3 linked regions of the Rattus norvegicus genome follow. The protein of the gene in region 2 interacts with the protein of the main gene of each other region in a biochemical or structural test. Links are inferred from orthologs where the notes say so. Each region holds a gene or a part of one and is shown on either strand. Other genes may lie near its edges.

Region 1 (3,728 bases), on a different chromosome or scaffold from region 2:
CAAGACTCTATCAAAAGTGGCATTAACCTTTGGAGAGACGATCTCAAAACAGTCCTCAAACTTCAGTACTTTGTGATTGTCACATCGAAGTTGCTTTCGTAGGCCCTCTCCAAGTTGAAGGACCACCATGTTAGGGTCGAACATCAAATGGAATGGGAAGGTTCTGCAGAAGGTGTTGATACTGATTCTGAGGTCTGTAGGAATTTGGGAAGTACCTTGTGGAATGTTCTTTGTGATCTGAGTAGTCTCACATTCTTTGATAAGGAAGGTAAGACAGCTATAATTGCTTGGGGTTGAACCATCAGAGCAAAATTTCTCATTTTCAATTTGTTCAACTTCCACATTTAAGTGATAGATTCTCTTTCCTGCAGCCTTGATCATTCCCAGCATTGCGAAGCCCACTGTATGGTGGGGGTGGAAGTAGTGGAGTTTGAGAGTACCTTCAGGAAGCTCTTTGCATAGGAAAGATGGTGACTCTAGAGTGGCCTGTTTCCCAAATGAAGTCCTAATGTGTTCCAACAATGCATCGAAGCCATTGAAGAAATCCTGCAATGTGCTGCCTACAGCTCGAAGGACTCGCTCATTCTCATCAAAGCATATCTTAAAGAATTCCTCACCAAACCTTTCTTGAATTTCTTGGAACTTCAGTCCTAAAAGTAAAGGAGAATAAAAATGGCAGTACATAAACTGTATGTAATTAGCTATATATCTTTCAAATCACTCACCTAAAGAGTCAGCAATTTTGAGACAGAAAGATGGCTCAGTAGATAAGATGGCATAATCTTCCCAAAGAACACCTCAGTTGGTTCCCAGAACCTATATAAAGTGATTCTAAACAGCTTCTAAATCCAGGCCCAAGAATATCTGACTCAGAATTTATAGTTTCATGCCTACACACAGGGAAACACATACACATAATTAAAAATAAACACATTTATTTTGAGGGGTGAACACTTTTTTAAAGTGGTAATAGGTGAGTGAAATAAAAGAGATATTTTCCAGAGTCCCCAAATTTCCCATATAGGTTAAAATTTTTGGCTTATTATGTATCAGTTTATTTATTTGTGTTTAAATTACTTATTATATCTTTATTTAGGTCATAAATATACAGGTCATAAATATCAAGAGATTTATTCATTTATTTTAGGTTTTTCAATTTGGTAAAGATTTTCTTTTTTAGTTATTCACTTTACATACTGCTCACTGCCTGCCTCTTGGCCACCCCCTTATACAATCCTTCCCCTGATTCCCCCTTTCCTTCTCCTCTGAGTGGGTGGGGACACTCCTTGGTATCACCCACTTGGCACATCCAGTTCTATGTGAGGCTAGGCAGAAACTCTCACAGAGACCAGACAAGGCAACCTCGCTAGAAGAAAATATCCCACACACAGGCAACAGCTTTTGGGATAGTACCCATTTCAGTTGTTCAGGATCCACGTGAAGACCAAATTGCATATATGTTATATATGTGCAAAAAGGCCTAGATCCAGCCCATGTATGTTCTTTGGTTGCTGGTTAGTCTCTGAGAGTCCCAGTTTAAATTAGAGGGGTTTTTTTTTCCAATTAATTTGCATGTGTCTAAGATGTTGAGAAATTATTGAAGGCTTGTTGTTGCTGTTTGTTTGTTTGTTTGTTTTTTAGCTTTAAGAAGACTCTATGCTGTTGCCAAAAATTAGGTTTGGAACAAAAATATGTAAAAAGCATGAATATTTCCAAATAGTCTCACTGCCCCATACATGCACACATGCATTGTATAGATTTCCTTATCAGATGTCTACAATGGAAGGACCTTGCACATTGTGCAATGACTTTACCCTGACAAGCTCTGATCACGAAGAAGAGTGACCATAGTTCATTCTAGATGCTAGGGTATTATGATGATTAACATATTACCATTATAATATCTTCAGCATATTTTTATTACCTCAAACTCTATTTTCTTTTTATTCCTCTCTTTCTTCCCCTGACTCACAGAGAGCTTTTTAAATGAAAATAATCTAGAAATTAATTTTCTCTTTATTACCTCACTATTTAAACAATACAAATTATTTTTTCTTAATGATTTTATTAATAGTTAGAGGACATATAGCACATATGCAAAACTAGATGTTCATTAAGTGGGAAACACCTATCAAAAATAATATATAGTGCATGTGTGGGGAAAAGCATCAAGCTATTCACTGGAAATAGTAGAGTGTTTATTATAGCATAACAGGGTAAACCATGAAAATAAGATAAACTTTAATAAAAAGAATATAAAATTGTAGAACTTGAAATGACTTGTCAGAATTATGGACACCCCTGAGAACTCAGAGGAGACAGCTACTTTCTGCCCACATTTCTGACCCAAGAGGAAATCCCCTATTCCTATCTGTGACCCTGGGCACAGGGACATAGAACCAGTCAGAGACAGGACCCTTTGGGTTTCTGCCTGGGCCAAGAGCTGAAAGACAGTCAACAGGAGCATCTACACACCTGAGAGAAAAGACCACCTTTTCTGCCCCAAGTAAACTGCCTGGTGGATTCAGGACATAGAAAGGCAGAAGTCCTCTGGAACAAGGCATTTGGGTTTCTTCCTGTGCTCAGAATTAAACTGAACCAATCCCACAGCAATCTCCACCCAAATCCCATGGGGGAGAGAGCTGAACTCCCAGAAGTGCTGACCATGCTGAGACCACAACACAGACCAACACTTCTGTCCATATCCCTGGCCCAAGAAAAACTGCATAGTGCCTCTGGATTCAGGAATATAGGAATAGTCTACAGCAGGAACCTGCTGGTTTCTGTCTGTGCCCTGAACAGAACTGAACTGTTAACACAGCTCCCTGCACCCAAGTTCCACGGGAAAGAGAGCTGGACCCTCAGAAGCACAGACGGTCCTGAGAACGTAGAGGAGACAACGACTTTCTGCTCACATTTCTGACTGAAGAGGAAATCAAGAGTGAAATCTGTGTCCCCCGGGCAGAGGGACCTAGGAGCAGTCAGGAGCAGGACCCTTCAGGTTTCTGCTGCACCGAGAGCTTAAACAAGGTGCCAGGAGCTCCAAAACACCTGATAACAGAGATTTCTCTTCTCAGATCCAACTGAAAGAAAACATGTCTATAGGAATGCTGACACACAGGCCTAGGGGAGGGTCAAGCCACAATAAGAAAAAGCAAGACAAGCTAATACCAGAGACAACCTGATGTCAAGAGGCAAACACAGCAACCTAAAGAAAAGAAACCAAGAGTTCTTGGCATCATCAGAGCCCAGTTCTCTCACAAAAGCTAATAATGGATATCCAAACACATCGGAAAAGAGAGATTTAGAATTAAAATCACATTTTGTGATGATGATGATGGAGGACTTTAAGAAGGACATAAATAACTACCATAAAGAAATATAGGACAATAAAAGTAAACAAGTAGAAGCACTTAAAGAGGAAACACAAAAACCCTTTAAAGAATTACAGGAAAACACAACTAAACAGAAAAAGGAATTGAACAAAACTGTCCAGGATTTAAAAATCAAAATAGAAAAAAATAAAGGAAGCAAAAAGAAAGACAACACAGGGGATAGAAAACTTAGGGAAGAGATCAGGAGTCTCAGAGATGCAAGCATCACCAATAGAATACAAGAGATAGAAGAGAGAAAACATCGACACAACTCTTAAAGATAATGAAAAATTCTCAAAGCACCTAACCCGAAAACATTGAGGAAATCCAGGTCACAATGCGTAGATCAAATGT
Region 2 (3,600 bases):
CGGAGGGCAGAAGCCATGTGCCCCCTGCTGGTTTCTCCTGGGCCACCCTCAACTGGCCTGGATAGAGAGGAACCACAACTCCCAACAGTCCTGTGGACCACGACGCTCTACTATTGAAGGATCTTGTACCTCAAGGCCTTATGGGAGTTGGAGTCCCTCCATCTAAGGCTGACAAGTTTTCTGACCAATGAATGTTGCAAACATGGGTCTCCAAACCTCAGTAAGACCTGAATACATGATCCTCTAGGCAAGCCTCCTACCTTCAGGGTTGCTCAATCATGTGTTCCATCGAACACATTGAAAACTGGAGCAGAGAAATGAATAGACACATCCACTCAGAATAGCTACCAGTGCTACTAAGCCCCTCACCCTTATTGGATTTCATGTGTTCATGTTAGAAGGAGAACTCACACATTCCAATGAGTTCCTATATACATCAGTACAAAGGTGATGACAGCTAGGTTGCCAAGGCCAGGGATTAGGCCTAAGGACAGAAGGCACAAAGAACACAGGCAGACACTGACTGAAAGAGGGCTAGAAGAACCGAGGCACAAAAATCTACTGAAAACTACGGGGGATAAGAGAAGCAGCAGCCTGGAAGAAAGCCCAAAATCCACAGACCAGGAGAAAAACAACCAGCCCTGTAGATGGGGTAAAGGATGCAGACCTGAAATCTTCAGTCCCCAATCTCTAATCATGTTCACACGTGCACAATGCATGTGTATACACATGTGTGAGTTTGTGGCAAGGAACATGTGTGTCCTCAGCTTCCTTCCATAAGAAGCTGCAGTTCCCACTAAATATAACCCCCTCCCCAGCCTGTGACTCACCCGGACCCCGCCTCCCCCGGCCCCCACTTCCTGTCCCACCCCCCAACCCCCAGCTGCCTGCCGCCCGCCCAAGCCTCCCTCCTCACACCAGGCATCTAGCCTGCCAGTCCCAGAGTCTGGGAGCAAGCGACCGACCTAAGCTTCTTGGGCTTTCATCCCAGATCTCCCACTCTTTCCAGGCTCTGACCACAGGGACACCCTTGTACCCTGTATGGATCCCAGTTCCGCCAGCCCTGCCCTCTTTCTATACCGTTTTACCCCAGTGGCCTCTTCACCTCACAAGCCTTCAGAGACCCTTAGATCCAGGTGTCCTCTCAAGCGTCAGGGTAACAGCCCCCCTCCCCATCTGCTATTCTGTTCTCTTGACCAAGGCTAGATAAAATGTGGGAGATGGGAATAGTGGGCACCTGCCTGGGCTACCCCCAAATTTTGTACCACCCACATGGTCCCCCTCCTCAACTACCTTCTTTTTATCCTCCTACCCCACACCTCTCATCCTTCTTACGAGATGACAACCTCAGCTTTGCAACCTTCTAGCTCCCATGGGAGTACCCTGAATCCTAATCCCACCTGGTCCATTCTCTCAGGTAAGGCTGCATCAGGCCTCAGCCCTCTGGAAACTCCCAGGTCACTCACTCTATTCCACATAATTAAACCCTAAATGTACAATTCCCTCAAATCAGGAGCATCTCAAACATGTCTAGCACAAGATGTTTTATTACCTGAAGGCCCACCCTTACCTGCTAGTTGACACAGCCAGACAAGCCAGACACAACCAGTAACCTTTACCCTTATGCCAAGAGACACCCCCCCAAAATTGGTCAATTGGTCAGCATCTTGAAATGAGCTTTTTTGCCCAGGAAGGAAGACAACCCTCCCCCTAACACACTCACATAGCCCACCTTCCCACATATATGAGCAGAACTCCCATGTGAGGCAGGCGGGCTTCTCCTTAAATAAATTGCCCTCAAAACACTGCTGATGAACACCAGAGCCCACCAAGACACCCCAAACACCAAATCAAATTCTCCATTTCTTTATAGGTACAAAATGATCACTCCAGGAGGCACCTGTGGACCAAATCCATCGTTTTCTCAGATGTGAACCCCAAAACTAAATTGTGACCCCTCTAATACATCTTACTTTAGATGCGCTCACTTCAGTGCCTGCAACCCTAGATAAGGCCTACCTAAGCCTTCTCCACAAATTCATTACCTACTCCCCCTCCCCACTGCTCCCCCCATCATGCTTACCTTGGTTGTCACTATACAGAGACAGTCCATGTTGGGGGGCCTGGCCGCGGCGGCGAGTAGGGGGCTCTGACTTCATTGGAGTTTTGTTCCTCCCCTCGGTGGGTTCTCACCCCTCCCCCCTCCGCACCCCACTTTTGCAGGGGGGGCCAGGATGGGGGGAGGGGTGAGAGGGGAAGGAGAAGGTTGGAGAAGAGAAGGGTAGGGGAGCGTGGAAGGGAGGGGGGACCCTAAAGGGGGCTCCCCAGTGGAGGGGAGGGGGCTTGAGGAGCACACCCCGATTCTCAGGAGGGGCAGGGGCACAGGGGGCTGGCAGCCCCGGAGTTCTGGGGCTGGGGCATGAGCTGGGGTGGGGGAGGGGATCTGGATTTCGGGAAGCCCCGGGGTATGCGGGGGTCTTGCCAAACGGCCAGGGGCTAGGGGCCGTGGCGGGGGAGTGGGGTGGGGGGGGTTGGAGATGGCAGCGGCCGATGTAGCCGCGGAGCCGAGGAGGGAAGGGGAGAGAGGAGGAGAGAGGAAGCAGGGGGAGGGAGGGAGGGAGCTAGGAGCCAGAATGGGGGGGTGCCTTGGCAGTGTTAACTCCTTCACTGCTGGCAGGAACCCGGATAATGGGAAAGGAGATAGAAGCACAAGCAGAGAGGCCCTACGGCAAACATGGAGACCTGGCTAACCTCGATGATGACATTAAAGACGAGGACGGATTTCATTCCTTAGAGGGAAAAGGCCCACATCTGAGATGAGAGCATCCCTGGCTGGTTGAGTGCTGGAGGGAGGCCACACCACGGGGTACGGGGCTGAGGGAGGGGCTAACATTAGAGAACCTTGGGGACCTAGTTCTCCCCTAGGAGTCACAGGAAGAAGTCTGAAAAGTAATTAATTATGACCTGGACTTTCTGGTGCTGAAATTGGGGCAAGCCAAGAAAGGGGAGAACGGAGAAAGGGTACAGGGCTGGCTGCCCACAGAAAGAGCACTGTCAGTGCCCCCGACTCCTCAGTCAGTACTAGGGATTTTGTTGCCAAGGCCCCTAAGTCTCAGTTTAAAATTAGCAAGAACGTCCTCATCCCTCCAGTCCTGCCAGCTTGAGCAGTCAGGAAGCCAGGCACCCACCATCATCACCTTACCTGACTCTCTAAGATGCAAGCCTCATAATAGTCCAGGATGTCTGTCACAGGAACAGAATTAAGTCACCTCCCAAACCTCAGGCCCCTCTGGCCACCCCTGCTACCCATGGCTCTGTGTGTTGAGAGACAAGTTCCTCTAGCTAGGATGGATGCTGCTGGGACACAGTGGGATGACCACAAAAGCAAGAGCCTGGACTAGGGGCTCTGCAGGATTCCAACCAGCCTAGAACCTATAACAGGTGACCCCATACCGCAGGCCAGCCCTTTCCATTGTGGCCCCTCAGAACACTAGCATTACTCACCCAGCAAGGCCTGGAAGAGGTCACTGTGCAGCACTGTGAGGAGGGGAGGTGCCCACCGCAATAGTGGCGGGGCCAGGAGCCAGAGGGCTGACCTGG
Region 3 (3,728 bases), on a different chromosome or scaffold from region 2:
AAAGGTGTTGGGCTGGACATTGCGAGATACGAAGCATCCTTGATCTGTACAGGACAGGTATCAGTGTCACTCCTTCCTTAATTATTATTAAAAATATGTCCACATATTGACATGGATGCCCTAAGGAACAAAATCTCTACCATCACCACTGATAACCATTGGATTGAATCCAATTTTGGAAAGAGAAGGATAAGATTTCCCTGCCACTCATCATTAGTGTTAAAATATTTGTATTCATTTCTGTTTTTATTAAGAGAAGCACAAAGACCATTTAAAAGTATTCTGTTGTTCAGAAAAAAAGAAAGGCGTGGTTTAGAAGTAATAAAAGAACAAAGATTCCAGTAAGTACAGAGACAAGGAGCCTTAAATCTCTGTGCCTATAAAATGAGAAACAACCTGAGTACACACTAGAGCTGATATAAAGTAGAGAAACTTGTCTGACCTCAATACAAATCACCATCCATGTAGGGAGTTCTTTGGTCATGGTATCCTATTTTCAGTCATTTTTATAAGGCTTCACCCCATAAACATTTTTTGAAAGATATAACCAAGTTCAATACACTCTTGGCCACATTCTCTTTCTTAGTTTCAATGGAAAATGTCCGCTATCACCTCGCTGTGAGCACCCAGCTTCATAAAAATAGAAAGATACCATGGGTCAATACTTTTACACTTCCTAGGGCTGGGGAAATGGCTCAGATGGAGAACTGCTTGCTACACAAGCGGGAAGACTGAATTCAATTCCAGAGCCCAAGCAATGATGCTGAATGTGCTGGTTAATACTTATAATCCCGGTACTAGGAGATGGACCCAGGCTTCCTGGAGTTCACTGGAGCTCACTGGGGCTCACTGGCCTGCCAGCCTTAGCTTACTTTATGAGCTTCAGGACTATGAAATACCTTCTCAAATGAAGCAAGGTAACTGGCTCTTGATATCCTTATGTAATATCCTCTGTCCTCCATGCACACGTGCACTCATATACATCCCACACTCATATATATGGAGAGAGATAGAGATAGAGAGAAAGAGAGAGAGACAGAGACAGAGACAGACAGAGACAGAGACAGACAGAGACAGACAGAGACAGAGACAGACAGAGACAGAGACAGAGAAACAGGCAGACACACACACACACACACACACACACACACACACACACATATGTTTTATAGTTTTTGTTCTCATTTCCCCAAAATCGATGTCTGTTAAGTAGTTTGACTTGATTTTTTTTCAGGCTTGGTGGCCTAGTCTTATGATAATTAACAACTACCAATATTAGTTCATTCTTTTATCTATTATATACCCATATGTGTGTGCACGTGTGCATGTGTATGTGCGTGTGCGCATGCATGCGTGTGGGGTGTGTGTGGGGGGGTGGGGGGGGGTGTGGGGGTGTGGGTGTGTGTGCGCGCGCATGTGCACGCTTCCTACTATAGCATTTCCAGCCAATAAAGTGGTTGGCTTAAATTTTGGGCGTTTTTGACAAGATTTCGGGTGAATGAATGGTGAAAAATCATCACTACACAGAAGATAATATCTCTTGTTATAGATAGAAGGGGAATTGGAAAGTCATACGTGAGTGAAGAAATTTTTCCAGTCTTTACTGTTTAATGGTGATTATTCATACCTTGTTGAAAATTCACCTTTGATAAACATTCCTTATGCATTCAATATAAGACAGGTACAGATTCTAATTAAATTCCTCATTTTTAAATGACACGAAAGCCTCCATTTTTGAAGTCTCTATAAAGATCCATTTTGTCTAGATATTTGTAGTTCATCAAACTCCATAGATTCTCAGAGTTGCATTAACAAAACCAGAATGTTCATAGAAAACTCAAACCACTTCACTGTGATTGGAGTTCAGAAAGTTCATTCACCCTGAAACTCTGAAAAGGGTAGAAGAAACTTGAGATGGGAGGTGTGCAAGGTTGCTTAAAAGATTTGCAAAGATCTCAGGCAGCCCCACAAATTCTGTGTGCAAGTGAGTCTCCTATGTCATTAGAGAATTTACACTCAACACTCCTTTGTCTCTAATCACAGTCAGAAAGTGTCCCTTACCTATTGTAACCTTTCAGTGAGCATACATTTCCAGAGAGTAATATCTCACTTATTGAATGGACTGAACCATGTGTCTATACTCATGCACCTACCTCAACATCTTTCATCACACACACACACACACACACACACACACACACACACACACACACACACACACATTCACACTTCTCTTCCAGAAGCAGCAATAAGATTTGAATCTTGGTGTTACATTTCAGTTCATTATCCCAAAACACAGGATATAGTAATATATTGCCTTCCTGCTGAAGAGTCTTTCTCATACCCCATCTCCCTAGCAATAAAAGCATCCTTTGCGGGTGGAGGTGCAACTCAGTTGGTATTGAACCCAGAGCACTGGATTCTACCCCAGCACTGCATATACTGGGCATGGTGCCACACACCAGTAATTCCAACATTCCAGAGGTGAAGGCAAGAGGATCAGAAGTTCATGGTCATCCTCAGCTAACTAGGAAATTTGAAGATAGACTAAGATACATGAAACAGTGTCTTAAAACATAAAATAATTTGGTTCACACAGTGACAAATTGTCTTGTACCTTTATTTCCACAATAGAAAGAGTCCCACACAATGAAGCCCACATTTGAATTTTCTTTTCTTTCCTCAGCTCTCTGCACTACAAGCTAAGGTCCACTATCTCAAGTTCCTCAGTGACCTGCGACTATACGGGGGCCGTGTGTTCAAGGCAACATTAGTGGTAATTGCATTTTCTTTCTTTCTGTCTGGAGCCAGAGGCTGGCCAAACATCACAGCACAGCACAGGCTGTCTTCAAGGAGTTGCCCTGGATGATAAACATAAAGAAGCTAGGAATCTTTCCTTGTTTTCAATACTAACCAACTTCACCACAGTCTGGAGATACCTTGAGAAATGTTCGATCTAAGTAGCATTGCTGTAGAAGCCCTGGGGGAAAAATGGAATCAAAGGACTCTTAACAATGGTGCCTTTTCAATCACTGAGATAGAAAAGGGAGGGGGACACTTCTCACTTCTAAAAGCTTTTGATGTGCATAAATATATTGTATAATGACTACATTTACTTTCTATGTTATTCATCATTTATGGGCAACCCTATATACTCATATCTGAGTCCACCTAATTGGATGATTTAATGCAATATAACCCAGAAAAACTTTCCAAAGAATACATCATGATCTTAGGAAAAGAGTCACTCAGTCTGAGATTTAGATGATGCTTCAAAAGTCCTGAACCTTGAAATACTCTGTCATTCTCTTTCCTTAGCAGGCAGAGAAGCGCTCAGAAGTGACTCTTCTGGTGGGTCCCCGGTATGGCATAAGCCATGTCATAAACACCAAAACCAACCTGGTGGCTCTTTTAGCTGACTTCAGCCATGTCAACAGGATTGAAATGTTTACTGAAGAGGAGAGTTTGGTGAGGGTGGAGTTGCATGTGCTCGATGTGAAGGTGAGCCTTTCGCATGGTGACCCATGGCACTGCCTTCAGCAGTTCATTTCTGATAGCTCTGATAGTACTCATCATGCATGAAAGAGTTAATGTGTGCATGGCCTCACAGATGCCATTTGGTTAAAAAAAGTAAATAATAAATCCATACAACTCCTATCTAGGTGTTCTAGTCCTCATTAGATTGCTGTCTCATTTGGGGACAGGTTATTATATTTCTTTAGGCACAG

What was found.
Region 1: the proteins of Dlg4 (region 2) and Gucy1a2 interact in a test that uses a peptide from one of them, tested with the Homo sapiens proteins (2 studies listed by IntAct, with this or other methods). The link is inferred for Rattus norvegicus from reciprocal best matches to the Homo sapiens genes DLG4 and GUCY1A2.
Region 3: the proteins of Dlg4 (region 2) and Frmpd4 interact in a biophysical measurement, tested with the Homo sapiens proteins (2 studies listed by IntAct, with this or other methods). The link is inferred for Rattus norvegicus from reciprocal best matches to the Homo sapiens genes DLG4 and FRMPD4.

The regions. Positions count from the first base shown.
Region 1 is NC_086026.1:8,879,174-8,882,901, reverse strand, and holds part of Gucy1a2 (guanylate cyclase soluble subunit alpha-2), read right to left. Parts: intron 651-3,728; coding exon 1-650. UniProt on the Homo sapiens protein: Has guanylyl cyclase on binding to the beta-1 subunit. Isoform 2 acts as a negative regulator of guanylyl cyclase activity as it forms non-functional heterodimers with the beta subunits.
Region 2 is NC_086028.1:55,238,353-55,241,952, reverse strand, and holds the start of Dlg4 (disks large homolog 4), read right to left. Parts: upstream 2,170-3,600; 5' UTR 2,114-2,169; coding exon 2,084-2,113; intron 1-2,083. UniProt on the Homo sapiens protein: Postsynaptic scaffolding protein that plays a critical role in synaptogenesis and synaptic plasticity by providing a platform for the postsynaptic clustering of crucial synaptic proteins.
Region 3 is NC_086039.1:30,365,529-30,369,256, forward strand, and holds part of Frmpd4 (FERM and PDZ domain-containing protein 4), read left to right. Parts: intron 1-2,686; coding exon 2,687-2,776; intron 2,777-3,318; coding exon 3,319-3,501; intron 3,502-3,728. UniProt on the Homo sapiens protein: Positive regulator of dendritic spine morphogenesis and density. Required for the maintenance of excitatory synaptic transmission. Binds phosphatidylinositol 4,5-bisphosphate.